7 linked regions of the Oryzias latipes genome follow. The protein of the gene in region 4 purifies or fractionates together with the protein of the main gene of each other region. This does not show direct contact. Links are inferred from orthologs where the notes say so. Each region holds a gene or a part of one and is shown on either strand. Other genes may lie near its edges. The genes, in order: polr3h, polr3e, polr1e, polr2h, polr3d, rpap2 and mediator of RNA polymerase II transcription subunit 26.

What was found.
Region 1: the proteins of polr2h (region 4) and polr3h purify together in Homo sapiens (affinity purification with mass spectrometry; 5 studies listed by BioGRID and IntAct, with this or other methods). This does not show direct contact. The link is inferred for Oryzias latipes from reciprocal best matches to the Homo sapiens genes POLR2H and POLR3H.
Region 2: the proteins of polr2h (region 4) and polr3e purify together in Homo sapiens (affinity purification with mass spectrometry; 3 studies listed by BioGRID and IntAct, with this or other methods). This does not show direct contact. The link is inferred for Oryzias latipes from reciprocal best matches to the Homo sapiens genes POLR2H and POLR3E.
Region 3: the proteins of polr2h (region 4) and polr1e purify together in Homo sapiens (affinity purification with mass spectrometry; 3 studies listed by BioGRID and IntAct, with this or other methods). This does not show direct contact. The link is inferred for Oryzias latipes from reciprocal best matches to the Homo sapiens genes POLR2H and POLR1E.
Region 5: the proteins of polr2h (region 4) and polr3d purify together in Homo sapiens (affinity purification with mass spectrometry; 4 studies listed by BioGRID and IntAct, with this or other methods). This does not show direct contact. The link is inferred for Oryzias latipes from reciprocal best matches to the Homo sapiens genes POLR2H and POLR3D.
Region 6: the proteins of polr2h (region 4) and rpap2 purify together in Homo sapiens (affinity purification with mass spectrometry; 3 studies listed by BioGRID and IntAct, with this or other methods). This does not show direct contact. The link is inferred for Oryzias latipes from reciprocal best matches to the Homo sapiens genes POLR2H and RPAP2.
Region 7: the proteins of polr2h (region 4) and mediator of RNA polymerase II transcription subunit 26 purify together in Homo sapiens (affinity purification with mass spectrometry; 3 studies listed by BioGRID and IntAct, with this or other methods). This does not show direct contact. The link is inferred for Oryzias latipes from reciprocal best matches to the Homo sapiens genes POLR2H and MED26.

Annotation. Positions count from the first base shown.
Region 1 is NC_019866.2:19,484,386-19,488,055, reverse strand, and holds the end of polr3h (DNA-directed RNA polymerase III subunit RPC8), read right to left. Parts: intron 2,931-3,670; coding exon 2,834-2,930; intron 2,651-2,833; coding exon 2,564-2,650; intron 2,465-2,563; coding exon 2,401-2,464; intron 2,268-2,400; coding exon 2,033-2,267; intron 1,219-2,032; coding exon 1,168-1,218; 3' UTR 501-1,167; downstream 1-500.
Region 2 is NC_019877.2:13,135,777-13,139,276, forward strand, and holds part of polr3e (DNA-directed RNA polymerase III subunit RPC5), read right to left. Parts: intron 3,488-3,500; coding exon 3,406-3,487; intron 3,300-3,405; coding exon 3,240-3,299; intron 3,101-3,239; coding exon 2,943-3,100; intron 2,860-2,942; coding exon 2,798-2,859; intron 2,716-2,797; coding exon 2,264-2,715; intron 548-2,263; coding exon 470-547; intron 258-469; coding exon 135-257; intron 54-134; coding exon 1-53. UniProt on the Homo sapiens protein: DNA-dependent RNA polymerase catalyzes the transcription of DNA into RNA using the four ribonucleoside triphosphates as substrates.
Region 3 is NC_019859.2:12,631,185-12,635,287, forward strand, and holds the start of polr1e (DNA-directed RNA polymerase I subunit RPA49), read right to left. Parts: upstream 2,801-4,103; 5' UTR 2,786-2,800; coding exon 2,756-2,785; intron 2,546-2,755; coding exon 2,467-2,545; intron 2,266-2,466; coding exon 2,162-2,265; intron 1,879-2,161; coding exon 1,802-1,878; intron 1,711-1,801; coding exon 1,625-1,710; intron 1,543-1,624; coding exon 1,487-1,542; intron 1,413-1,486; coding exon 1,268-1,412; intron 1,145-1,267; coding exon 1,034-1,144; intron 919-1,033; coding exon 822-918; intron 739-821; coding exon 608-738; intron 474-607; coding exon 392-473; intron 309-391; coding exon 177-308; intron 1-176. UniProt on the Homo sapiens protein: Component of RNA polymerase I (Pol I), a DNA-dependent RNA polymerase which synthesizes ribosomal RNA precursors using the four ribonucleoside triphosphates as substrates.
Region 4 is NC_019862.2:11,777,309-11,781,312, reverse strand, and holds the start of polr2h (DNA-directed RNA polymerases I, II, and III subunit RPABC3), read right to left. Parts: upstream 2,801-4,004; 5' UTR 2,650-2,800; intron 2,503-2,649; exon of another isoform or gene 2,312-2,502; intron 1,608-2,311; 5' UTR 1,587-1,607; coding exon 1,514-1,586; intron 1,136-1,513; coding exon 1,052-1,135; intron 783-1,051; coding exon 689-782; intron 587-688; coding exon 503-586; intron 350-502; coding exon 232-349; 3' UTR 1-231. Other genes in the region: lisH domain-containing protein ARMC9, read left to right, coding at 3,666-3,740, 3,880-4,004. UniProt on the Homo sapiens protein: DNA-dependent RNA polymerase catalyzes the transcription of DNA into RNA using the four ribonucleoside triphosphates as substrates.
Region 5 is NC_019867.2:17,411,597-17,415,606, forward strand, and holds the start of polr3d (DNA-directed RNA polymerase III subunit RPC4), read right to left. Parts: upstream 2,801-4,010; 5' UTR 2,681-2,800; intron 754-2,680; 5' UTR 722-753; coding exon 557-721; intron 364-556; coding exon 320-363; intron 213-319; coding exon 58-212; intron 1-57. UniProt on the Homo sapiens protein: DNA-dependent RNA polymerase catalyzes the transcription of DNA into RNA using the four ribonucleoside triphosphates as substrates.
Region 6 is NC_019875.2:5,934,870-5,939,029, reverse strand, and holds the start of rpap2 (putative RNA polymerase II subunit B1 CTD phosphatase RPAP2), read right to left. Parts: upstream 2,801-4,160; 5' UTR 2,090-2,800; coding exon 2,041-2,089; intron 1,937-2,040; coding exon 1,888-1,936; intron 1,807-1,887; coding exon 1,704-1,806; intron 1,265-1,703; coding exon 1,166-1,264; intron 1,083-1,165; coding exon 1,017-1,082; intron 930-1,016; coding exon 841-929; intron 764-840; coding exon 728-763; intron 655-727; coding exon 1-654. Other genes in the region: glmn (glomulin), read left to right, coding at 3,672-3,710.
Region 7 is NC_019875.2:6,560,887-6,563,049, reverse strand, and holds part of mediator of RNA polymerase II transcription subunit 26, read right to left. Parts: intron 1,709-2,163; coding exon 1,634-1,708; intron 1,550-1,633; coding exon 1-1,549. UniProt on the Homo sapiens protein: Component of the Mediator complex, a coactivator involved in the regulated transcription of nearly all RNA polymerase II-dependent genes.

The sequences.
Region 1 (3,670 bases), on a different chromosome or scaffold from region 4:
TCATCCAGGCTACTGCCTCCCGGGTGCGGTTCGGCTGCAGCTCACTGCTCCCCCAGGGGATGGGTCAAATGCGGAGAACAAATTTCCCATTGTGGGATAAATACAGTATAACTCTTGAACTCTTCTCTCCAAGCTCCTTCCTTATTGTAATTTGGTTCGTCTTAGTCTTGTCTCTGGTGAACAATCTTCTCCCTGGTGTCCTTTGACAGCTCTGTGGTCTTGGTGGAGACATTGGAGTCTGACTGTTTAAGGGTGGACAGGTGTCTTTTACACTGACAACCAGTTAAAACAGTAACCAATATTGCAAGAAACGAGTGGAAGCTAGAACTTACAGATCCACTCCATTCAAAATTGTGTTTTTGGTGTTTTGAAAATGTTCTTGTGACATTTTTCTCATTATAGACATAAAGAAAATTAAGATTAAAAGTGCCTTACTGAGTATTTCTATATTCAAATTGTGGTGAATCAGGAGCAGATGAAAAAATGCCACACTTTTATAATAGATTAAAATAGATCCAAACATTTATTGGAGTGGGACTTTATAACAGGTCTATGAAGAACAGAATTCTTGCTTGATTGTAGGAGCTAAATTTGTATTTTTTCACTAATAACTAAATAAATTCTTTAAAAATCAAATGATCTGATTTCCTGGAATATTTTTAACATTCTGCCTCTCAAATATGATGAACATTAGACCCTTCTCATCTTTTTAAGTGACACATCTTGCAGAATTGCTTACAGAAATACCTGTTCTCCCGCCATAGCAGAGAAAAATACGACTGATAAACTCACAAGAGAAAGTCAAGTAGTTTGTTTTTCAATTCAGAATATGTACACGGACTTTCAGAAAGCACAGAAGACCATTGCTTATTTACCTTAAATGATGAGGCATTTGAATAAAATCCTCTTTAACAAAAAATAATGAACTATTTCCTCATAGTTTTAAGAAACTCTCACAGGAAATGTATCAAACATAAATTGCCATTCAACACATCACAGTGAGTTGTACATGTAAACATGAAACTGGTATCGGCTGCTTTCACACTGACGATCTCAATTCATCTGTACTCCTGTAACAAAACTATAGAGTTCTTCATGCTGGTTTTTTGTTCCTGCTGACTGAGCAGCAGGTCTCGGGTGATGAGGGACAAACCATCCTCTGTAGTGCTAATTGTTCCACCATGACAGCAGTCCCAGCCCTGGCTCACAGATGGTGCCCTGAAATAGAAACACAGAAATATAAAATAAAGATGTAATACAAATTTATCACTAATAAGAACAAAAATGAAATTCTTATGACAAATTTTGTTTTTTACATGATTTTGCACTTAGTTTTTGATATGCATTATTAAGGTTTTGATCCCAGAAAGCATTTTAAGACTGTAAATGTATGTAACTGCTTTATTGCATTTACACAATCAAACATTTACATTTAAATATTTAGCTTTTTTTCTATTAAAGATTATAGGCTTCTTATAATTGAGACCATTGTGGGGTTAAGGGTCTCGTCCAAGAAGAGAACCCCAACTACCCAAATAGCAGACTGTCACCTTTTAGGACTCACATGACTGTTTAAAAAAATAAAAAGATCCCACTTTCCATTTATTATAAAACTATCTATCCCTCTTAAAAGTACAGAAATACCCTGAGCCTGTTTAGGGAAAAAAAACAAAGAACAGCTCCTGGTGTTGGATTAAGATGTGCACTTTTTATATTTTGCATATTTCAGAATACTTTGAGATGCAACAGAGTGAAGACTGACAGCCAGGCAAACATCAGTCTCAAACTTCACAAATGCTACAGCTGAACAGTCAAAAACTTCAATAAACCTTCCTAAAACTGTGGAAAGTCTTCCAAAAAAAGAGCTGAAGCTCCTACTGTTGCAGAGGATCTGATGGCATCATAATAATTCCTCTAGATTATGAATGGAGTGTCACTAAGGTACAAACATATGTAATGGCAAAGGAGCTAAAAAGTTTTGACGATAGGTGTATTTGCAAAAACGCTTTTTTATGGCATTATGAACTCTTACTATCAGTGTGTACGGCGCTTCTTTCTTCTCTGTGCTCTCCTCTGCAGGTGCTGCTGTGGACTGTCCCGGCTGTGCTGCATTATCAGGCGTAGCAGCAGCTGGACCTGTTGGAGACGTGTCCACAAAGACCTCGTCTGTTACCCGAAACCGGATCTCCTCCCCTTGGTCCATGTAGAGGTCATGAGCCCCTTCATCGGTCTCATACTCCCAGAGCCAAACCTGCTCAGCCTCATCACTGGAGTTTCAGATTAGGAAAGTTCACCTTAAACTGTATAACACTTAGTATCAATAGGATTCCTCAAATGCATCATATTTACGCAGCAAACACAGTCTAATAAAGCAGAGTCAGTAATTGTAAGGTTGGATACAACTTTGCAGGCTGCTGCAGAGACTCTGGTGGAATGAGGATGTCATCAAAGAAGCCCATCGTCACTGTAAAGCAGAGAGACCATAGTTAGACAAGCAAACAATATTTCCACATGTGTGTGAACACATCTGTGTCAGCTGTGTTAAAGAAAACATGATACTTACCATGAACTCCCTCCTGACTGCAGTACTTGATTTTCCCAACAAGGATCTCCTCAAGGAACGGGTGAAAAACAACAAACCTGAAATGAACTGACAACAAAGGTGAGAATGTCAGCAGAAATAGGATTTAGATCTTTAATGTGTGTTTTTTTAAATCTATGTGTTAAAAGAAAATACTGAAAGATTGAAGGACTGTGAGCTGGTTTGACTGACGTCAATATGATTAACTGAAGGTATTCAGAGACTGTCACAGTAATACTGTTGCTGTCATACCTTTGGTGTGTGAAGCGCCATCGCCTGGGAAAATATAGGAGTCCTCCAGTTTAGTAATGTCATACAGACAAATGCAGAGACCCACGTTGAAAACCACCTAAGACAAAAAAGAAGCATTATAGAATAAATGTGTGATATTTGTCATCAATATTGCAATGACAATATGACTTTTGACGAATGAACATAAAGCAAAACAGAAAACTACTACATAATTTCCATTTCACTGCATCAGATTTATTTCAATAAAAATCAAAATAACTTCAATTATACAGCAAATGACCCTTGTCTACAAAGGAGGCGGGAATCTAAGATTAAAGGGGTCCATCCAATTGGTCAAATGCATTAAGGGATCTATTTACATTTAAGATAACCACTCATCATAATTTACACTGTCTTCAGTGCACATATTGCACAGGCTGATATCACGATGACAATAACTTGCAATTTCTTGTGTAGGCTACAAATAAATTGGATATCAATCTGCCATAATAGAGCAGTTACATAGTATCATGATTAGGTGTTTGCTTATTCTGATTTCGTTTTGGGCCATTTGACTAAATAAAATGTGTTAGATCAACAAACTAGTAAAATATGAGACAGAAAACACAAGTTAACCCAACATGAAGTTTTCAACTAAAGGTGTATTATTAAAATCATAATGTCAATCCTACATGGGCAGGTGTGAAAAAGTTCCTATAGTTTCCATATGCGGTTTGTTTCATCTTTGGAAAGATGCTATTTCGTCAAGACCAAGTAGGTTTAGACTCCTCCCCTTTCCCCTGTAAAAACCCTTTACTTTAAATTTGATAGAAAACTTGAAAGATTTAACTGAGTCAA
Region 2 (3,500 bases), on a different chromosome or scaffold from region 4:
GATGGTACCGTTCCTTTAAGGTACCAGCAGCCTGCGTGGCTGCTGCAGCACTCCTATAATGATAGACAGCAGGTTGGAATGATGAGGCACAGCTGGTTGGAGGTGGATGCTCAGCCTCGGCCACGCCCTCTTACTTGAAGAACTCTGTCGACATCGGCCTTCGACGTGTCGCCGAGCTCCTGCGACAGCTTGGTTTGAACCATGCCCCTCCTGACCCGGAAGTTTTTGGTGAAGAGGTCGTAGAGCAGCCGACGATGCTGCAGCGGGAAAACATGTTTGACCTTAATGGTTTCACAGAGTTATCCTTCAGGAAACGGCTAAAAAGTCAACTATAAAAGATTCCCTTTAATGATTTTAGATGAGCATTTACAGCCAGAAACTTATAATCATACAAGTGTTTGAGTTCAATCGGATTTCTTCTAGAGTTTATTTAAAGCAGAAATACACAAAGAATTGAAGGTGCTCTTACCTGGTCAAAGTTGTCTCCACTCTCCCACAATCCAAACACTTTTTGTTCATCAGGAGCTGCTTTGCTTTGTGCAGGAAACTAAAACATTGAAGAAACAGACAAAAAAAAAGGTTCATTTCTGATGATTTCCATTTCTAGACACAAAACCTACTAATCTGACAAATGAGTCGAGTCATAGTTATGGGACTATACTCGATGTACCTGAGGCAGAGTTTTCAGGATGCTCATCAACAACTAGTCCAGACATCCACTGTCAAATCTAGGAGAACTGTGTAGTCAGAGTCTGGTTTATGGTGTTTCAATAGATAAAAAAAAAAGCATTTCTGCATCAATTACAGCTCATTAACTTTATTTTATGGTCAGATAGGAAGTTAGACTGTAAAGAGAACTGGATTCTCTCTCCTGACAAGAATTCAATACGGATCCATAAGTGGTTCTTTTAAAGACGCACTTCGATTAAGATGGAGTTGTTGTTTTCTCATGTTCCTGTTAAACATAAAGGACATATATTAAGAAAATTAAGCTTAAAATTGCTTTTTTTAAATATTTCTTTATTTAAATCGTTGGGAATCAGGAGCAGACAGAAAAATGCCGTTTGAAAAAGCTTTTGGGTGTGATGTAGAACCTACAATGGCAACGCTTTAAAAAATGGATCAAAAGATGATCAGAGTGGAGCTTTAAGCGATAAATAAATGATAAACTGAGGTCTTGATCTGGTTGAGTTGAAGAAGACAACCTCCTGCAGTAAAGCTACTTCAGAGCTGTAAGGAGCTTTGCTTTGGGGCTAATCACCTGTTGCATAACAGAGACGGCTTTAGGCCAGTGTCTTAAAATCCTCCAAAACAGACAGTGTAGAGAAAATAAGACCAGAGTTCTTTGTTCTCTCTGAGCCATGACCCAAAAGAGTAATAGAGTACTAGAACCGTACACCAGCGTCAGATGGCCTTGATAGACCCTGAGAGGTTTACATCACCTGAGTGAGGCTTCTTCTTTAAAAGCAACTGTTAAAAGTCGTTAGTGAGAAAAGAAAACTGATACCAGCATTTGGGGGCTTTTAGCAGCTGTGGGAATCCAGAGCAGCGGTTCTTAATCCAAGCAGAACATGATAAATGCTTTAAAACATGAGAATAAATCAGAGCTAAAATGGAAAGAGGCCATTTACACTGAAATTAGCTCTTTGTCGGTTTACATGACAAAGGAGCCAAACCACCAAGTCCTCTAATCAGTCTGAAGATCTGTTTCACAAGAAAAGACTTGAACCGACAACCAGCCTGCTCAGCAGCACTGTGGTCCAACAGCAGGAAGCCTGAGACACAAATACAAATCATCTGCAACAACATCCAGACTTACTGCAAATGCCACTTAAACTATTTTACGATTGTGACAAGAGTTTTACTTAGTAACAGATTTTGTTCAGCAGCATCAGTGGTTCAGGTCCTGTTCTTCTAAAATGTTGATGGGCGGATGTAGTCTCTGTAGTACAAGATCAGTGGTTTCTATGCTTCCTGTTGTTTTGCATTCCGTACACAAAAGCTTTCCTTCTTTGAATCATCCTGCAGCAGTGTTTTTGGTGTTTCAAACATGCTCTTACAGCATTTTTCTCAAAATGGATGACATGAAATAAAGAAAATTAAGCTAAAAATTGCATTTTTTGAGGATTTCTCTTTTCAAATTGTTGTGAATCAGGATGCATCTTAACAATAATTACTTTTTATGCACAAACAGTAAAAGTTTATTTAAATTCTAGATCATTTTATATTTAAGGAGTTAATCAAGTATAACCTCAATACTCACAGGCACCAGGATCTGTTTGCACTGGCAGAGCAGCATGGCGTCTTGCAGCAGGTGATCAGAGACAGAGTGGAAGACACTTTGTCCAGACGGTAAAGACGCCAGGTGAAGGTTAAAGAGTCGCTTTAGCTCGTTCAAGGTCAATACAAAATGCTTCCGGAAAGTCTTTTTCACAAAGTCCAGCAGTTGCGGAGGCGGCACGCTCGCGGGGCTCCCCCCGTTGACCTGATCGAAGCAGGGGGAGGAGGCGGGGTAACCGTTCATCGAGCCGTTGGGGGCAGAAGACGAGGAGGTGTCCATTGGCTCGTCCTCTCTGTCGCTACTCTGCTCCTGCTTGATGTGGACGATGTTTCCTGCATGCTTAGCATCCAGATCCTTCTGCAGGGACGACTGGTTGGCTTTCGCCCGATCCTGAGCCATCTTCAGGCGCTGGTCCCCGCTGATGTGGACGGGCTCTGGAGCAGAACACACTGATGTCAGAAAAGTAAAGACAAAATCATCACCATTTTAAAAACGCCATGTAGAGCTTGTCCTCACCAGGCTGAGGGGAATTCTTGGGCAAAAAGTCTTCTTTACAGACATTAAACACCTTTTCCAACCTTTAAGGAAACGACTGGTAACTTTTTTTTGAAGAAAAAGGCAAAAAAGGAATTTTTTTTTCAGTGGCTCGAGTTCGTCATACTTGCTCTGGATTCCGAGCCACAGCATGTTCTGTCGGTGTGCTACGTCTGGATGCTTCCTTATGAAGTCCACGTCCGTGGGCAGCAGGAACTCCCAGCCGCGGTTGACCCGAGGAACGGCCACGTGCTCCAGAAACTCCTTCACGTCCTCCGGAGGAAGCTGAAGGGGGCAGAAGAAGAAGAGAAGCTGGTTACCCCACTGGACAAAAGGGAGATTTCAAGAAGGAAAAAAAGCAACAAATCAGCACAGCACACAAAAAATGTGTTACATTTAAAATCAAGACATCATTGGTTCTTACTTTGATGATGGATGCGATCTCCTTTCTCATCACAGAACGCTCCAGAGTGAACCTCCAAATCTTGAGGAATAAAACATTAGTTTTATATGTATCATGTAAAGCCAGAGCATTCACTTTTCTTTGTATTCATGCCAACAGAAAAACACAAACGGGGTCAGCAGCTCACCACAAAGTCTCTGCCGCGACAGAGCACTTCAGCCGGAACGCCGCTGTGAGCACTGCAGGTGTTTTTTGGATACAGAACATCGCTGAGGACAAAAC
Region 3 (4,103 bases), on a different chromosome or scaffold from region 4:
CTTTGCAAATGTTGGGACATGCTGCCAAGTCCGACCCTAGGTTGTCATAAAATGTGCGAAACCCACACAGAGAGAAAGGTGGTGCCTCAGAGAGAGTCGTCTTATGTTCGGGTTGGAAAATCAGTTGGTAAAATAACTAAGATGTTTTAAAGGGAGAGAATTTGGGGTTTTTGTACCTGGCCTCATTGATTTCCAGGTCACGGTGAAGCAGTGAGAGGTTAACAGTCATGTCACCCAAATGCAGCAACAGAGCCAGACTGTGAGCTGCTATTTTGGCCCGCATTGATGTCGACACAATGTTCTGGACCCTAAAAGGAGAACACAAAACACATTTGTCAGCTTTTTTTTTTTTTAAACCTTAACAAAAGAGGGGGTACTGTCGCATACACACCTGCCATTATTGTATGTCTCCACTGTAAATGTTCGGAGAATTTTACTTTGAATGACACGAGGACAACCTTCCTCAGTCCAAACTGCAAACAAAAACGGGTGGAATAGAAAAAGCATCATACATTACAAAACTTTAGGGGCAGGGCATTTTAACGTGTTGATCAGCGATATTTAGAATCTACTACTTCAATAACTGAGATTCCAAAATTCTGCTCACATTTGCGAGTGACAATCTTCTGATGGGCAAGTTTGATGAGGAGAGACAGGTAAAAAGCGCAGCGAGCAGTTTTCTCTCTAGGTTCACTTGCGGATGGCATGTTCTCCAGGTGCTTCATCACACACAGATTCCTTTGGTAAGAAATAGAGAAATATTTCAATTCAATAATAAGTAAATAAGGCTAATAAGACAAAAATGCTCTCTGCTACCATACCCTCTTTGGTCTTTCAACTTCTGCAGCTCCTCTTGGCTTAGTGCCGTCATCTTTTGACCGTTCGGCTCCAAAGCAGCAAATTCTACTGGACTCAGTACTGTTGAAGTCAAATTAAGGATGGAGAAAAGTGCTGCTTTTGCTCGAACTACATATGCATGTAATTTCCAATATCTGTTCAAATTGGGGGTGGGGGGGTAATGTTAAAAAGATACGCTCTTCAAAGGGGTAGACATCTTCTTTTTTGTCTGCATCTGCATTGCAGGGAGGTAGGTGTAACGACAGGGCTCCTTGAGACTCTGTTTCAGCTACTTCCTGTTGCAGAGCTAACAAGAAAAAAAGGGGGAAAAAAACATGTAGTAAAAAAAAAATGATGGCAAGTCCAGTATGAATTTGAGTTATATTTTCTTGTCTAGATTACTCCAAAAGGCTGAAAGCTTCACGCTTACCTTCCAGACCCTTGTTATCAATCACAGTGCTGGCAGCTTCAGCCACTGCATGATGCAGAGCATCACTGCCCACCTGGTTGAGCCTGCGAGAGCTCAGAGCTCGTTTCTGTTTATTCGTGCCAAAGGCCTCAATCAAGGAGTCAACCTTGAGAAAGAAAAAAAAAACATGACTTCACTGTGTGCTTGTTTGTTTCAAAAGAAAGCTTGTTTTTCTCATACCTTTTCCCTGTAGGACAGAGTGGTGTCCTGAGGCTTTGCATCATGTGTTGCCTCTCCTGGTGGAAATTAACTGGCATTACTAAATTGCCCTCCTTTAAAAATCGCTTGTTATTGTTTTGGGGATTGCATTTCTTTTACCTGGTATGACAGGTTGCATGTTGAATAGCTGAGCGCTGTGTATCTCCATCTGCATGGTTTCTTTATTCAAAACTCCAACATAATATCTGAAAATAATTGCATCACAAAACTCATTCGATAAGGATACGAAAGGTCTATATCAAATGTTAATGTATATAAAATGTAATGATAACAAACCTGCAAAGATTATTGCATTTCATTAAATCTTCTCCAAAATTCTGCCCGACATAAGACAACCTGTCTGATTCAGCAACCTAAATGGAACAGACAACTGTTACATATTTAATGAATGCGAATCTGTCATTTTTGTTTAATTATTATGGTATAATGTACGTGTGTGTGGTTGTAAATATATGGATATGCATCTCTTATAACATTTTTTATTTTACAATCAAAAAATGACAAACCATCTTAAGTTTGATAAACATATGAGTGGATTTGTATTTCTTCTTCAGTGTGATGTTATATTGATTGCTTGAAATATATCAATTCCATGCAAACTATGGTGTGTGCGAGCACGCATGCGCAATTTCTCACCACGATCCGCCTTATCTTTTTCCTCGGATTATTTTCTTCTATGTTCTTGAATGTGGCAAAATCCAGTTCCTCTGCATTGCTGGTGAAACCATTCGAAAATCGGACTGCAAAAAATACAGAGAATGGCGTGTTAATGTTGATTATGTGTGAGAATATTGCCTTGTAACTTTCACGTGTTCTGATTACTCCTGAAAAATGGAATAGTTTTATACACTTGAATGCAACACAGATAACTCAAATACTGACTGTATGCTCGCCTGCTTTAGAGATTATTGTTTCAAAAAGGCTGAGATGAGAATAATTACCTATGATCGCTTTGTCAGACTCCCTTTCCTCCTCGCAGCACACCATCCTGCACGAGGCGGCCATGATTGTTGTTGTGATCTGTGAAAGGAGCGAGAGGACTCACTCATCTGTATTTACGTAAAACGTAACGCTCAGTGAATTTGGTCAATGACGAATTTTTGTCTTTTCTTAAAGCTGTCTAAAAACATTTTTTTTCTAAATACACGTAAATATTATTCACAACACCTGTCTTAATAAAGTAGATATTTAAAACCATTTCGCTCAATAGTTTTCATCCTAGACACTTACGAACGACAGCGACACCCTGTGGTGAATCATTCAAACTGCTGCGCTTTACCTCAACGAGGTCATTTCAATCAAGGTGCAGCAGCGCCACCCTGTGAGTCTGGATGGGGAAAAAAAGCCGTCTGAATAAATGTTCGTATAGATTAAGCAAAACGTGCTGCTTGGTAAGCGCCGGAAACACACCAGATCATCGGTATTATGATATTGTTCTGAAGTTGTATCCTGCTCATCGGTCATCCTAAAGCTAACGACCATCGCAACTCCCTTCTTCTCGACAGTTGAACTACTACGCCGTTCAGACTGTATTGGAGAACTACGAGGAAGTGGCTTAGAGGAGATGTTATGAACACCGCAATGGAAGGGTTAGCCATAGGTAGCTGCACTTGAGGGGACATTTTGTGGGGGAAAGGGTGTCGGCGGAGACGATCTTTTGGGGAGACCTAATGCACCCGCTGGTGCTGCTATATAGCTAGAAGGAGTTGGCTAGCCGCGCGGCTGCTAACGAGACTCACTACTAGCCTCTTCACTTTTTTTCCCTGAATATTTTCTCAATTTTTTTCCTTCGGGGACACACTTTTTGGAAGACTTAAAGGTAATTTGTGCTATTTGACATTTTTAAAATCTAGTATATGTTATTTATTGTTTATAACCCACATGATTGTCCAGTTTAAACTTGCAAGCTATTCTTTAAGGTCTGTTTTGCAGTAACCGAATTCTCTATCATCAAGTTGCGATAAAAAAATATAAAGTTTGGGGAATTTAAAACGACTAATTACCCAAAGTTTTTGAATGTAATAAATGTTACAACACGGTTATCGCATAGTAAGATATTGAATTCTATTTTAGGCCACAGAATTCTATAAAATTAAATCAATTATTCTGAAAAAAAAATTAGCTAGCTTACTTAAATTTCCTTCTTTTGTGTGTGTTATATGTTGAGTCTTTGGAAACGCTTTTAACCAAAGTGACTCACTAGTTTATTACAATCCAAGGCAACGTGAGGTTAAGTGTTTCGCCCAAGGACACTTTTGACTGTGTAGTCTTGGATTTAAACCCCCAATCTACTGACCTTCAAATTCTTTCCTTAGTTATGTCTATGTTAAATAGTCAAAAGGAAGTCAAATGTGTGTGTTTTGCACTGATAATGACATATTGAAGTCAGCCCAAAAAGCCAGAATGTTTCTAAGACTTGTTGTCTTGTTGATTAACTTAACTTCACATTCTGAGTAACTTCACATTCTGAGTGGCTAAACACACCTGATGATCCAGGGAGCAGGGAGAGCTGGGAAACAGTCAAGGTGGTAGATCTGTTGGGCAGCCCCCTGTGAAATCATTGATGTCCACGTCCTTC
Region 4 (4,004 bases):
AGTTAATCAACACTTGTAATTGTTTTGTATAAAAGAAAGAAATATTTATTTACAGTGTACCACCAAGTGGAAATCACAGACCTCAGTGTAGTTTGTTGGAGGAACTATAAAAAATACAACAGAGGTTTACAAAAACATGGTGTTTTGTCTCTAAGATGTTCATATGTTCCACTTTTCTAGATCCCAGTTTTACAAAGGTGGATGAAGGCGGTAGAAAACAGAGGAGGGGGGTTAAAAGGCCAGCTTCTTCATGAGGAGATAGACTCTGGAGTCTACCTCAAAGCCGTGTAGATTGTTGGCATCTCCCTGCAGCCTCATGAGAAGGCCTCCATAAGACACATAGGCTGAGCTGAAAGAACAAGCACATCATTAGAGGACTTGATCAACATTTACACATACATACAGTTTATTTAAATTTTTACTAATCACTAAATTGACAGCACTTGACTTTTAACTTAAATAAAGGATTGTAATGATCTACATGCATTTGTGTAGAACTTACAGACGCGTGGCTGCTTCTGTTGAGGTCTCATCGCCTTCTATCTTGTAGACCTTTCCATACATTACATAGTCAAACTGAGCTGCCCTAGAAACAATTTAAAAATGGAAGATGAATCAAAAGCATCACACATTATCTGCCACAGATTGAAAGACATGGATGTTCATTTATCTTCTTTAAATGCCTTGCCTAGATGGTCGATCATCCTGGGGATTGTACTCTCCATCATCTGGCGTTCCATCTTCATATAATGTACTGGCAATCACCAGTCTGAACTTGTCCCCTTTTTGAAACATGCAAAAAAAAATCTGGATTTATCATAGCAATGTACATAATCACCTAAGATCAAGCTACACTTCTAATACAATAGTTTTACATTGAGTCAAAACTGAGTTAAAATAACTTATCAATTCTGCACCAACACCTTACAAGAGTGAAGAATGACAGTTTCACTAAATACTACCAATAATCAATTTAAAAATTCCTCCACAAAGGCCAAATGTCTAAGATCAAACAAGACATAAACAATAAAGGACATTGTTAATTTCTTACCAAGATCAACAGGATAAATCTGAGTATTTACATCCAAGATCAGGTCCATCTTGAAAGATTCACTTTCACAATGCAGACGAGACACTGCAGTATAAGTAATAATAACCTGTATTAGTTTATATTAAAGAGAACTGAAAACATTATGAAACTGACTAACGCGCTTTTAGATATCCATCTTTTTCAAGCAAATGCATATAATGATTATGTTTGTTATTGTGTTAGTTTTAAAGCTACTAAAAAGCAGGATTGAAGGTTTCCCAACTCAGTAATGTGATGACTGTAATGTTTAGCTGTAATAAAATAATAAAATAAAAGCTGTAATTACTGACAACACAATTTTTTAGTCACACTTAACACAATATGAACAAAAATGCAATATACAATTGTAATTATGACTTTTACAACTGAAACTATCTACTGGTGAAGATCGTTTTTGTGTTTTTACAGTGACAGTCCACATACCTCTGTCAAATTTCTTGCCATCTGGATCAATGTCTTTCACATCAAAAATATCTTCAAACAAAATCCCAGCCATCTTTATCCCTTTCTGTTAAACCTAAAACAGATTCATCATAAAACAAAATTAAAAGGGAAGGTTAGTCACACAGCAAAGCATTTTACGTAGCCAAGTCAATCAAGAAAAACACACTATAGCAGTGAGTGCTATATTGTGTTTTTCACAGTTTCAGTGTGAAATTCCTATGACTCTTCTTTCTTCTTTCTTTCTCTTTCGGCTTTTCCCATCAGGGGTCGCCACAGCGAATCATCCTTTTCCACCTCACTCTATCATGAACATCTTCTACCCTAACATTAGCCAACTTCATGTCCTCTGTTAAGACATCCATATATCTCCTCTTTGACCGTCCTCTTGGCCTCCTGCCAGGCAGCTCCATCTCCAACATCCTTCTAGTTCTACCAATATATCCACTATCCCTCCTCTGAACATGTCCAAACCATCTCATTCTGGCTTCTCTGACTTTGTCGCTAACACAGGCAACATGGGCCGTCCCTCTGATGTACTCGTTCCTTATCCTGTCTAACCTGGTCACTCCTAAGCGTTCTGGTCCCGATCTTGACTATAATTAATTAAAAACAAGTTAAAAAGAAAAAGGAATAGGTCAAAACAAATGGAAATCACAAAGCTCTCCCACCGTGTCAAAGTGGGTGAACAAAACTTGTCACAACTTTGGACAACTTTAACAATGTTCACTTACGCGCTAACTGTAGCATCATGTTGTCCACACAAAATATAATACTTACCCCCAAGTGCTGTTCTTGTATTTTTGTGTAAATAGTATGCCCTGGAATGTGGTGAATTCGTGTAAAAACGATAATAATGTAACCTAGACGTCAGATATTTGATTTAGATAGATTTTCATTCATTATTAAGCGAAATAGTCGGTACCGCGCAGAACCAGCGTGTTCGACCTTTGACATAACAAGAACTTCCGTTTTTTTGTCTCTTTTTTTCTTTTAAAAGAAAGACGCATGTTTTGCTTTACTGAATGTTATACATTTTTTAGAAAGGGAAAAATGCGTTGCGATGGTGTAATGTAGAAAAAATGATCACTAAAATAACACCAATTAAATTTGCCTACCGTTTTATTTGAAGGCTCACAATAGGTCAAAGATGGGGAAAAAACGAATAATATTTTGGCTAAATTTTACGTAGCAAATAAAAAAAAGATTTTTATAAAAGTATTTGTTTTCTCTCAATTATTTAACTGATAATTTAAGTAACCAACAACTGAACTAATTTTACGACAGTTTTTACTAACTTCCGTCTGTCGTCATCTTGTTGCTAGGTGCGTTTAGCGTCCTCTGTGTGGACGGTTGCTAGCTAATGTTAAGGCTGTTGTTTTTACCATAAGCGTCATTATATCGAAAAAATAATTACCAATATACATTTTAAGCATAAATAAAATATTTAATGAAACTTCTAATGCGGATTCTTACCAAGAAAAGATGGTCAAACGAGGTAAGGAACGCTCATCATGTGAACAAACCTGACTGAAACAATTATTGACTAGCTTCCTGCAGTTTGCAGCTCTTCAAATCTCTGCCGTTATAGTTAACGTGTTTTCCGCTATAAAATGCATACAAAGATGAAAATAATTTTTTTTTGATCATAGTAGTAACATTAGGATGGTCTTAGTTTTAGGGCAGGGATGTCCACTTAGTTTCTTCTGTTTAGTTTAGCAATCAGCTATTGAATTCTATGACTTTATGTTCTTTATGATTCATGTTTATTACACAATTACCGGAATGAAGCCCATTGAGATGACTATTGCTGTAAATATTGGGCTATAAATACAATGTAATTGAATTGAATACAACTACAGTAACCTCGGTTGGAACAAACAAATAATAATTCGGAAAGAAAACTGAAACCGTACAAGTTAATACAGGTTGTAATTATTTGCTCTTGTTCGAATAAGCAAGACTGGTCATCTTTACATTAAAACGTGAAATTATTGAAGTATTTTTTTCTTTTTCTTTTTGCCTGTCTGTGCTATTCTGTCTGTTCAGACTGTTACCTGTTTTTTGTAAGTGCAAAGGAATTTCAAACTGAGCCCCAAATGACGGCCGGTATTTTGACAGCTGTGGTCCACGGATGAGTTCAACTAAGACAGCCAAGATGGGAGACATCTTGGCAACTGAAGCCGATCTCCTTGGGATGATTAAAGAGGTAAAGCATGATAGGGATGTGAAGAAAAAAACTGCAATTAAAATCCATAATCTGTTTATTCTGATAGTTGATCTAACATTTCAATGTATTCCACGATGGTGATTGTATAATTAACACACTTTGTGTTTGTTCTCTTTAGTACCTGAAGTTTGGGGAATTTGAAGAAACGGTTCAAATTTTTGACAAAGAATGTAAAAGCAAAGGCAAACTTGTCTCCAAGCCTCGAGGAAACGCTCTCAGAGACTCAAAGACTCGTGTCATTCA
Region 5 (4,010 bases), on a different chromosome or scaffold from region 4:
AAATGGCAGTTCAGCTGCAGCAGCAAACTGCATATGCTAGTCCTGCTGGCCCCCCACCTCTCCTTTTCATCATCATCTCGGCCGGCCCCTGCTCAAAGATAGAATGGGACTGGATGATCTCTTGGCGACCTCGGCCCCTGCCTCTGTCTCTCGGCCCTCGACCACGTTCTCCACCTCTCCGATCTCTCCTTTGATCAGTCTCAACTTTGGCTCTGTTGCAACCAAAAATTTTTTTTTTAAAACAGTTAAAGCTTCAGTTTACACGAATTTTATTTGTTCTTCACTGCATTTTTCAATCCTAGAAATAAAATCAACTTACTCCTCTTTAACCTTTCGGCCAATGATGTTGGGTGTGAAGGTTTTCTATAAAATTAAAAAAAAGATAAATGAGTAATAAGAAAAGCTGTTTATTTTTGAAATCTAGAAAAAAAAAATCATGATTGCAAGTAGGGCAAAAGAAGCTACAGAAGGGTTTCTTAATATATCTGGTGTGATTAACTCATCTAACACAATTCCTAACCCAAAGATTAAATGGCGAGTGAGGTATGATGCTAACCTTCTTCACTCCTCCCAGGGTGAGGTCCCTTGACCGCATGGAAGGGAGGCGTCCAGGAGAGAGTCCAGCTGGTGGTCGACGCCCCATCTGGAGTCCTACATTGCTGCTGCTGGCGCCTGCAGGAGTGGGAACGCGTTGACTGCTGGACTCCCCGGAGTCCGCCATCCTGAACTTTAAAGGGATGTCAAACTCCCAACCTGGTGGCCAACAATAATACTCATCATCATCTCTCTCAGACAATGGTGATGTTTAAAAGGAAAATACACAAATATTACATAAAAATTGTTTTCAAATGTCTTTATGAGGAGGTTGCACACATTTTACTGCCAGGTGAAACACTACTCTGGATTCTGTTGGCGTGTGCCTTTAAAACAGTTACGTAATGTCCAGGGTGTGTGGCATCTTTCCAAATACAACTCTTTCCCAATCAGTCTGGTAGTGCACTTCCTATCCCCCTCCCCTCTGTTCTTACTACTTCCTGCACGGTCTTCCTGTCCTCTGTTGTGCCTTCAGACAGCGCGGCACTAGAACTGAACCCTCATTGTTGGCCTTATAAAACCTGACCAGCAGTTCCTGAAAGAAGAGGGCCTGCCTCAACTTCCTGAGAAAGTACTGTGTTCTGACCAGGTGATCTCAGCTGTGACGTTTATTTATGGCCCCTCATCCTCGTGTGTCGCCAATCATTGGATTTCAAAGTAAAGCTACAGGCTAGAAGTTCTTTTGTTTTGTTTTTTTGGCCCCTATGCCAAAATTTAAAAGAACCAGCTGTTATCTCGCAAAATAAGATCAACGCACTTGTTTTTGTAATACATCTTTGCAAGAAAATTAGCAATGCTCAACAGCACGTGACACTAAAATTAGCAAAAAGATAAAGAAAAGATTTTTAGTGTCTTATCATCGCTACAAAAGGGGATTTGCGTGTCCCTCCCTTCATGTCCACAAATTCTGTCACTTGAACTGCAGCAATATTTAAACTTAATTTCATCTTCAAAAAATACAAAAGCTCAAAAAACAATTGAAATTTGTAAATTTTTTGGACTACTGATATAAGTTTACTCTCGTATTTTCTCTTTTTATTATTATTTTTTTTTAACTTTATTTTATTTTTTTCTTTGTTTAGTTTTATTTTATTTATTTATTTTTATTTGTTATTGCCTTTTGTGATTGCTTCTAATAATTAAAATTTTCTTAATGTTGTAACACGTTTATTCTACTGTACATTATATGTGCATAATTGTTGCATTCTCTTGTTCTGTATGTTGCAATTGTCCAATTAAAAAAAAGAATTCTGTTATTTCCCTAAACAAACACATTGAGCATGCGCGTCTTACAGGGTATGTTTGATTTGTTGTGCGGGGACGCTCAATTCCTTCACAGTCAAGAGGGCATGTTTCTGTGCCAGCTGGAGGTTGGTTAGTTTGTAACAAGACCAGAAAATCGATCAATGATTTCTGCTGTTTTTCTGAACACTATTGTGATTATGGTCACATGTCTTTTCTAAATTAATTGTTTTTCCACACATTGCAATGGAATGATGCTTTGACATTTCTTTGCTAACATCACCATCACGTCGTTTTTACGCTATAGTTAAAAAACCAAGCATGTATCTGAATGGTACTTTCCAAGATCGATTATCAATTTAATATAATTTTGAAAGGATTTTATAATGGTACAGTTCGATTTGAATCCATTATCAACTTGTTTCAGCCACAAAATCTGTTTTGATGTGTCACTTTATTAATTAATCATTAGACCCCATACCTAAAATTAATGTTATTGAGGTTTACATTAATGTAATTTGTAATAATACCGGGATAAACAAAAATATACTTTCAGTCCGTTCTGTAACCTTTTTCTTTTTATCTTTTTTACTCTGTTGTGGTTCTGAACGTAAGCAATTCAAGACATTAATTAGGAATGATTTCTTAAACTTTCGAGTCTAAGCATTGAGAATAAATTGTGTTTACAATGATATTTGTCAGTGATTTAAATACACAACCAGTATTTACATACGATGAATGAAGAAAAATGTTACAGAAACACGTGGCTAGTAAGATAGATCACAAACAACGCGAAAGCTGTCCAGAGGAAGTCTTAACATATTGCAGTTCTCCAAAAACTTACACGACACGTCCTCGGTGGTCCTTATTCGGAGTTTTCCCCCCTAAAACCTGCCAGATATCAGAAACAAAATCCTGTTGCCTCGTCCACCGCTGCATTCACTAGCGGCGCCATGACACTTCCGCTTTGGCTTCAACTTGCTCTCGAGGATCAAACATGCGCAGAAAAACGCGCATGCTTAGAAACATTATTTTGTTTTATTTTTATGTTTTATTTCAGAATCCACAGTCCAAAAAAATTCACTGTCATAAAAAAGATAAGATTAGATAAACGATTATACTAGTCTTTCCAAATGTTTCCTAAAACAGCTAAATGAAAATTATATTTTGAGTTCTGACATATCGTGCATTAGTTTTCCTGCAAGTTTTGTCAGATTCATAAAAATCTTTTGCATGGATTAATGTTATTGAATGTTTTGAAATAAATGTCTCAGATGTGAAGAACCAAAAGATATGGCATATTTCGAGATTGGAAATTTTTTTTTTCTAAAGATGTTATTTTCCTCTGACATGCTAAGGGAACTGATTATATTACTACTACTACTAACAATAATAATAATAATAATAATAATAATAATAATAATAATAATAATAATAATAATAATAATAATAATAATAATAATAATAATAAATATTTCATTTGTTTGGGCACTTGTTTCCTTGGTTATTTTCTGTCTTACAGCAAAATAGTCTTATGCAACATTCACGCTTTTATATTTCTCGCCTTTCAGCATATTCCTTCTGGGGTCTCGACAGCGAATCAGCTTTCCCTGATTCTCACAGGTAGCTTTGCAGAGATTTTTGCGCCAGATGATCTTCCTGACACAACCCTGTATTTTATCCTAGCTGGGGACCGGCACAGGGGAACCTAGACTTGGGCCCCCTTGTGGCTGCATAGTTACGCAGTACAACAAAGGGTCTTGCCTAAGGGCCCACACTGCATCAAGTTCATTGTGGCCCCTGGGAAGCGGATCCTGGTTTCCCATGATCCAGTCCTACACAGAGCCAACTGAACTATCCATTTGCTACCTTATGCAAACAACTGCATGCAGTTAAATAAAACAGTAAGATTAAATATTTCCATGCAGTTAAACAGATTAAATCTAATATAAACTCTAAATGGAAACTCACATCTTTACATTTTTAAGGAATTAAAATAGAGTTTGTGATATAAGTAATGAATGTTCCTACTGTGTGATATAGTAATAATACAAATAATCTGTTAAAGGAAACATCCAATAGGCCTTCAGAGTGCAAAGAAAATATTTGTTTTTAATATGTGAAAAATATAAATAGATGCAGTTAAATAAATCAATTTGATCAAACAGGGAAAG
Region 6 (4,160 bases), on a different chromosome or scaffold from region 4:
TCTTCCTTTCTGTTATGATGACGGGGGGCAGGTGAGCAGGCGGCTCCGTGCAGGAACCTGATGGTGTGATCGGTGCACCAGGCTTTCAGAGTCCTCCTCAGGGTCTCCAGGAGGCTCGCTGGCTCCCGTTTGGCTCCCGTGCAGCTCTGCCTCCCCAGCAGAGCCCGCAGCCCTGCAGCTCCTCGCCTGCTCATGCCCACCTGGGTGATGTGGAGGCCCGGCAGGGGGGCTGCTGCTGTCTCATGAAGAGTGCACTCCCTCATCTGAGCTGTTACCTCTTCCAGTTGGGGGCGCTCAGGTGAGTCCTGTGGCTCAGCCTTGCTTGTGATGGGACCGAGCAGCTGTGGGGGTTCAGGATGCGGCCCCCTCGTGTCCTCCTGTGGAAGGCGACTCAGACATTCAGTCCCGTCCGTCCCCTCCTCTCCTTGGCTCCCGTTCTTGCTTTCACCCGTGCGGTCAGCCCAGTGAACCCGGGGTTTCTGCTGCTGGAAGGCCACACTGGAGACAAAGTCCTGCTCCCCACCGCTGCTCTCATCTCCAGCCGAGCTTTGATGATCCCCGCATGGCTCAGCGGGGGCGGCAGCTTGTGGTTTCTCAACGTCTTCCTCTTTGAGGCGCTGATCTGACAGCAGCACCTCCTCTCCGGAGCTCCCACTGGACACACACATGCAACACGTTACGCTCACTCCTGCAGAGGGACGTGCGGCCGCGGGCGCCGAGCACACACCTCTGTCCTGCCGTCAGCAGCCTGATCTTCGGGGGACTGTTGGCAAGAGAGAATTTTTACAAAGACACTCCACCCGAACGTCGAGTCTTACAAAGGCGGAGCAGTTCACAGACCTCTCCAACTTCCTGAGCCACAGAGGCGTCTTTGGGATCTGCAGCTCAAACTCTTTGGAGGCCTTGTAGCAGAAATTACTGCAGAAACGCTAAAGATGACAAATGAGGTCACCTCTTCTGTCTTCAAACTGCGACTGCACTGACAAAGTTCGTTCTTCTTCTGGGAAGAAACTCACCTTGCGCTCTGTGATGTCATAAACTCTGTTCGTCTTGGTAGAGATTTTGAACTGCTGAGACGGGATCTGCAAAGCAGGCAGCAGCGGTTAGACGAGGAAACCCAGACAGGAGCGTCAGCATTACCCTCAGTGGAGGGGCGACGTCTTACTTTGCCCAGCTGCTTTGGACATGTTGGATAACCACACAGCTTTAAGATGGACCGCTCCTCCACAGCATCTCTGTAATTAGCTGGAGTGATGAACTTGGCCTGAACAGAAAATGAGCCTGTGTGTTAAAACCCTTCTTAACCTGACTGACAACAGGTTGACCTCTTTATTAGTGTTTTCTTGTAAATTTCTACCTCAAAGTTTTCCCCATTAGCTTGTGCAAAATTCATTTTCTTTCTGTGCATTTTATCAATTACTTGAAACAATTATTTCCTTATAAAGATCTTTAATAAATGTATCATTAGACAGAATTTTCAAGAATTATACAAAAAAAAAAACCTAAAAGGATTAAGTTGAATTTAACAACTATCTGTCTGTTACATCTTTAAGTTGTTTTGTGTCTTTCTGCTGTAGTTTGCAGTGTTTGATGGTTTGTGGTCTGGAAACCTGGTAATGTTTGTGGGCGTGGCCTTTTCAGCTGGTTTCCCTCGCAACCCAGATCAAAGTGAAGGTGTTATCTAAAGATGGAGATGTTCATACCGACTCCAGGAGGAAGTCTTCTGCCACGCTGCTCTCCAGGAGCTGCTCCACCACCTCCAGGGCTCTCCTCTCCAGCTCCAGCTGCTCCCTCAGCGCATCCTTCCTGGCTCAGGGAAGGAGACGGATTCATTCAAACTGCGCTGCCTACACTGGATCATAAACCTGAGAAGAAAGCCTTCCAAACCTTCTTCTGGCTTCTTCTTCGGCGGTCAGAGTTTTGCTGCGTCTCCCTGCTGTCACACAAACACGAGATTTCACCAGGACATAGACGGAGCCCAGTTCAGTTCATCTGCTAATAAAATACCAAACACGTCCGTCCAAACTACTCAAACCAAACCTTTTCTGGACGTTTTCCCGGGATTCTTCATCTTCCCCTCCGTCGCCATGACACTTCCAGTTCAACTTTGACCTGTGACGCAGTTTTTCTACGGCAGCCGGGGTGGTTCAAACACGCAGCGTTCAGGTCGCGTGCAACAGCAGGAGAGAAGGTAGGTTCTCACTTTCCGCGCGTCTGTTCGTTTTCTGCTTCCAAGAGGAGTTTAATGCGAACGTTTGTTCACGAAAACCCGAGACAGCAGTCCGAGAACGAGCTAACCAATGCCGGCCTGCTTCTGTGAGGGCCGAGGCGGTGCCGCCCCGGTTCTGTAGTGTGTGGACCGAGGCGGTGCCGCGCCGGTTCTGAACTCAAACATCAGCTGCAGTCATGGTCGCCGTTCTGTTCTCTCAGCTGGCTGTCTTCTCTCTCTCATTGGAGGAGCTATTCTTTGTAGGAATGCCAATCCAACAGCCCTCCTCATTAGTTAAACCCTGATGTCCCACCGCACAGAGTTTTGGGTAATTGAGTTTATAGAGGATGGACGTTTTCAGGCTGTTTCTGTGTGCAGGCTGCACTCTGCAGAGGAACTTCATGGTTTTGCTCACGTCGTTACGTCCTTCAAAGGCAAACGTTTGTTTAATTTCCTTAACAGACGTGACATGTTTGTAGGTTTATGTTGTAACATGACACCTCTAGACTACAGTTTCACGAAGCGAATCTCTCTCTTCTTGTCTGAATAAGTAATATCTCACAAAAAACGTGTTCTTTGTAAATGTTAAAATTTTGAACTGCAGAATGATTCAAACGTTTTAAACTTTAAACAGTCAAATCAGAGAAAGCACAGTTTGGTCAGCAGAATTGGTACATTCTTAATGTAATGGAAGTAGATGAATGTTTACTGCTGGTATAAAACTAGAACTTCATAACTGAAAGACCTGCAACATCGATGATCTATGGAGCCTACAGTCTAGACCAGGAGTCAGCAAACTACTGAACTATTAAATCTGACCCTCCAAACTGGAATAAGTGATATTGATAACCCTCAGGATTGTTTTCATTTCCCTGTAGTTCTGGTGTCTCCCTATAGATTCTGCACTTTTAGGTGTGGAAAGTTATTCTGCATTGGTGTGGTGCTGGAGGATTTGTGCATTTTCCAAGTCAGGAAGGCATTTTTCCGAACATTCCAGCACCACATGAACGCAGCGTTTCTCTGAGTTTGTGTTTTTTCGCTGAGGGACATCATATGTGGAAATGGCACCAAAATAAAAAAAAACAAAAAAAAAAACTCAAACGTTCTGTTTTCAAATATGCATATTCCTTTTTCAAAGTTCAAGCATGTTTTCATCCAAATTCCTTGTTATTTCTTGGATGATGAAATGACTCCTCCCATCTGCTCCTGGTTCTCGCTGTCACATCGTTGACCTCTTTGTGGCCCCCCCGGTCAAAAGGTTTGCCCTCCCCTGATCTAGACACACTTCTCTGTATGATCTCCATGGTTTCTACTTTGCTTCCAGCACAGATGGTGACAGTAAGTCATCAGTACAGACATAGAAAAACATCATCATCATCATCATCATCATCAGGACACTCTGATCTGAACTGTTGTTTTTGAAGGACTTCCAGGAAGGACAGACTCTGTCCAAACGGGACTGATGGCTCTGGAGCGATTCAGCAATGTGGTCCAGCTGTGTGTGAGTGTCCACTTTCTTTATTTTATGGTTTTGTTTTCTTGAAATATCCCATGAGCAGCCAGGACAGAAGGTTCAAAGTTAAAGCCTGTGTCCTTTCTGTGTCAGCATCTTCTGGAGGAAAGGAGCAGCTGCAGATTTAATATGAGCAAACCTGTGTGACCGTTTAGGAAAGAGTTCCTGAGAATTCGGATCGATCGTCTCACATGGGCCATATTCTTGTGTTCTGTACCTTTCATCATTTGAGGACACGTTTGGAGTGAAGGAATCTCATCTCCAAGAGTCAAGTCCAGATCCGTCATAACACTGGAACTTTTTGGACACATTTTTAGATTTTTGTTCAGCCTCTTTCTGTGAGACACACAGAAGAAACCTGCTGGATGTTATGCAACTGTAAGACAACATCAGCAGCATTCATGTTTTACATGATACGGAGTCCGTGTCCTGACATGA
Region 7 (2,163 bases), on a different chromosome or scaffold from region 4:
ACCAGGTGCCATTGGTGTCATAACAACCATTTACTCCTGGCCACTGTTGTGTGTGGATCCTCTCCAAGTCCTTGTCCGTCAACTGCCGACTCATGCCTGGTAAATCCCCCTTTGAGCTGTCTGTCTGCAAAACGTGCATTTTCTTGGACTCTTTGGTCTCCTGTTCTTCCCTTTTGAGATATTCTGACATAAAAAAGTGTGCACTGGGGGTCTGAACCCCTGAAGAGGTGAGCAAATTGCTCTGAAGGTTCAAGTAAGACTGAATGATTTCGTTTCTAGACAGCTCTTTCCAGTTAGTCTGGAGGAAAGGGTTAGGGCAAGGACTTGTTGTTGTGGCAGCCGACTGCTGGACAGAACTTTCTGTTCTCTGCCTAAACTCTGCTGGATCAGGAGTAGAGGACACCTCTACTGGAGAAGGATCTTTATGCACCAGAGGTTTGATCTGACCTGTGACTGGGTCAAACGTTAGTCTGCGTTCTTTTAACCGTACTCTCTTAGTTGTGTCTTCCACTTTCTGCCCATCCAGGTTAATAGAGAAGTCTCTGGACTTGTACTTCCTCCTTTTATGCTCAGAGTTGGCTGCTGTCATTCTATCAGTATCATCAGACACCACAAAGCCCGCTTCCAATCTTGATCTCTGGGATTCTGTATTCTGTTGACAGAGGAGAGGGGAGGCTGATGGTGAATCCAGAGTTCCAGATACATCCTGGGGTTCATACAAACTGGTTGTGTGTGACAAAGGCTTATGAGATAAATGGGGCAGCTTCTCAGCAAAAGATGGTTGACCCGGAGAAGCCAAAGCCTGGGAAAAGGATAAGGGAGAGTCTCTGGAAGAAGGACTTGGGATTGGCGTTCCTTTCAGTCCATATGGTACGGAGCGCTTTGGTAAGGAGTCATGCTTCTGGCTCCGCGGACTGGAAGTGACACTGCGAGGACTCTTGCCTTGATTGTAGCTCCCTCCTTCTTCCTCCAGCCTGGCATGTTGCTGGATTACTGCAACTTTAACCAAAGAGGAAGTGCTGGGTAGTTTTTCCACCCCAGGGGAGTTGGGACAAGGCCTGACAGAATTGACTGAAGTTCTGTTCACTCTGTCGTCATCAAGGTGATCTACTCGGCATTTACCAGGAGACACTGTGACATCTTGTTCAAACTGGGTTCTTGGGCTGCCAGCAATCCCATTGGTGGGTAGTGGGGAGACAGAATTATCATATGTAGACGTCTTTGAGAGGTTTTCTGTTAAGTGCAGTCTGCTGTGCTCTACCTTGCGCTTGCTTGATTTTTCAGCTTTAGGTGAATACGTGTTCTGAACATAATTTCTCATCCTAACATCAGCAAATCCTTTCCCCAACACAGAAATCTCTGGAGGAGAGGGGTCGGTTCGGCACAGATGAGAACTGCCATTTGTCGACCCAGTGACACTGGGTGCCACAACTGGCCCAGGTTCAATCAGTTTTTGCCAGTTTTTCAACAGTTTCTTTGCGCGCTTTGCAAGATCTTCATCCTTGGTCTTCTTTCTAATATCATTGATCAGTTTTCCAAGTCGCGTTTCCTGTAAAATATGTGAGAAAATCAGAGAAGAAAGTCAGTATTTTCCTTTCAGTATGGAGTATCTGTTTAGGAATGCACGCTTTACCTCAAGTGCTTCTTTGGTGATAGGATATTTCTCCAGACAGTTAATTACTTCCAACACAATCACCATGTTGCAAATCTGCAAAAAACAGACAGTTGTTTCATGAGTTCAAAGACAATGCTGGCATCCACACTGTTGAACAACATTCAATAAAGATTGACACCAAATGCAGATATAACAAATTGGTATGCTTCTCTTGGGATTCATTACCTCACATTTATACAGTGTGTTCCAAATTATTATGCAATTGTTTTGTATTTAAGAGTCAAAAAGATGAATTTTTCAAATCAAACTCATGGATTATGGTGTGGATCACTGACATCCATCTCAGACACCTGTGATAACCAGGTGAGTTCAGTCAAATTGTCTAAATCAGGGTCGTGGGCAGGATCCGGCTTGCCTTCAATCCGGCCTCTCCATGGAGACCCACATAAGAGACATCTTAATCCACCACTCTGCAGTCTGTGCTCCGACCTGAACCCCTCTAAGAATCCCTGTCAAACAGAAGACAGTCTTCCCTTTCTACATTGGAG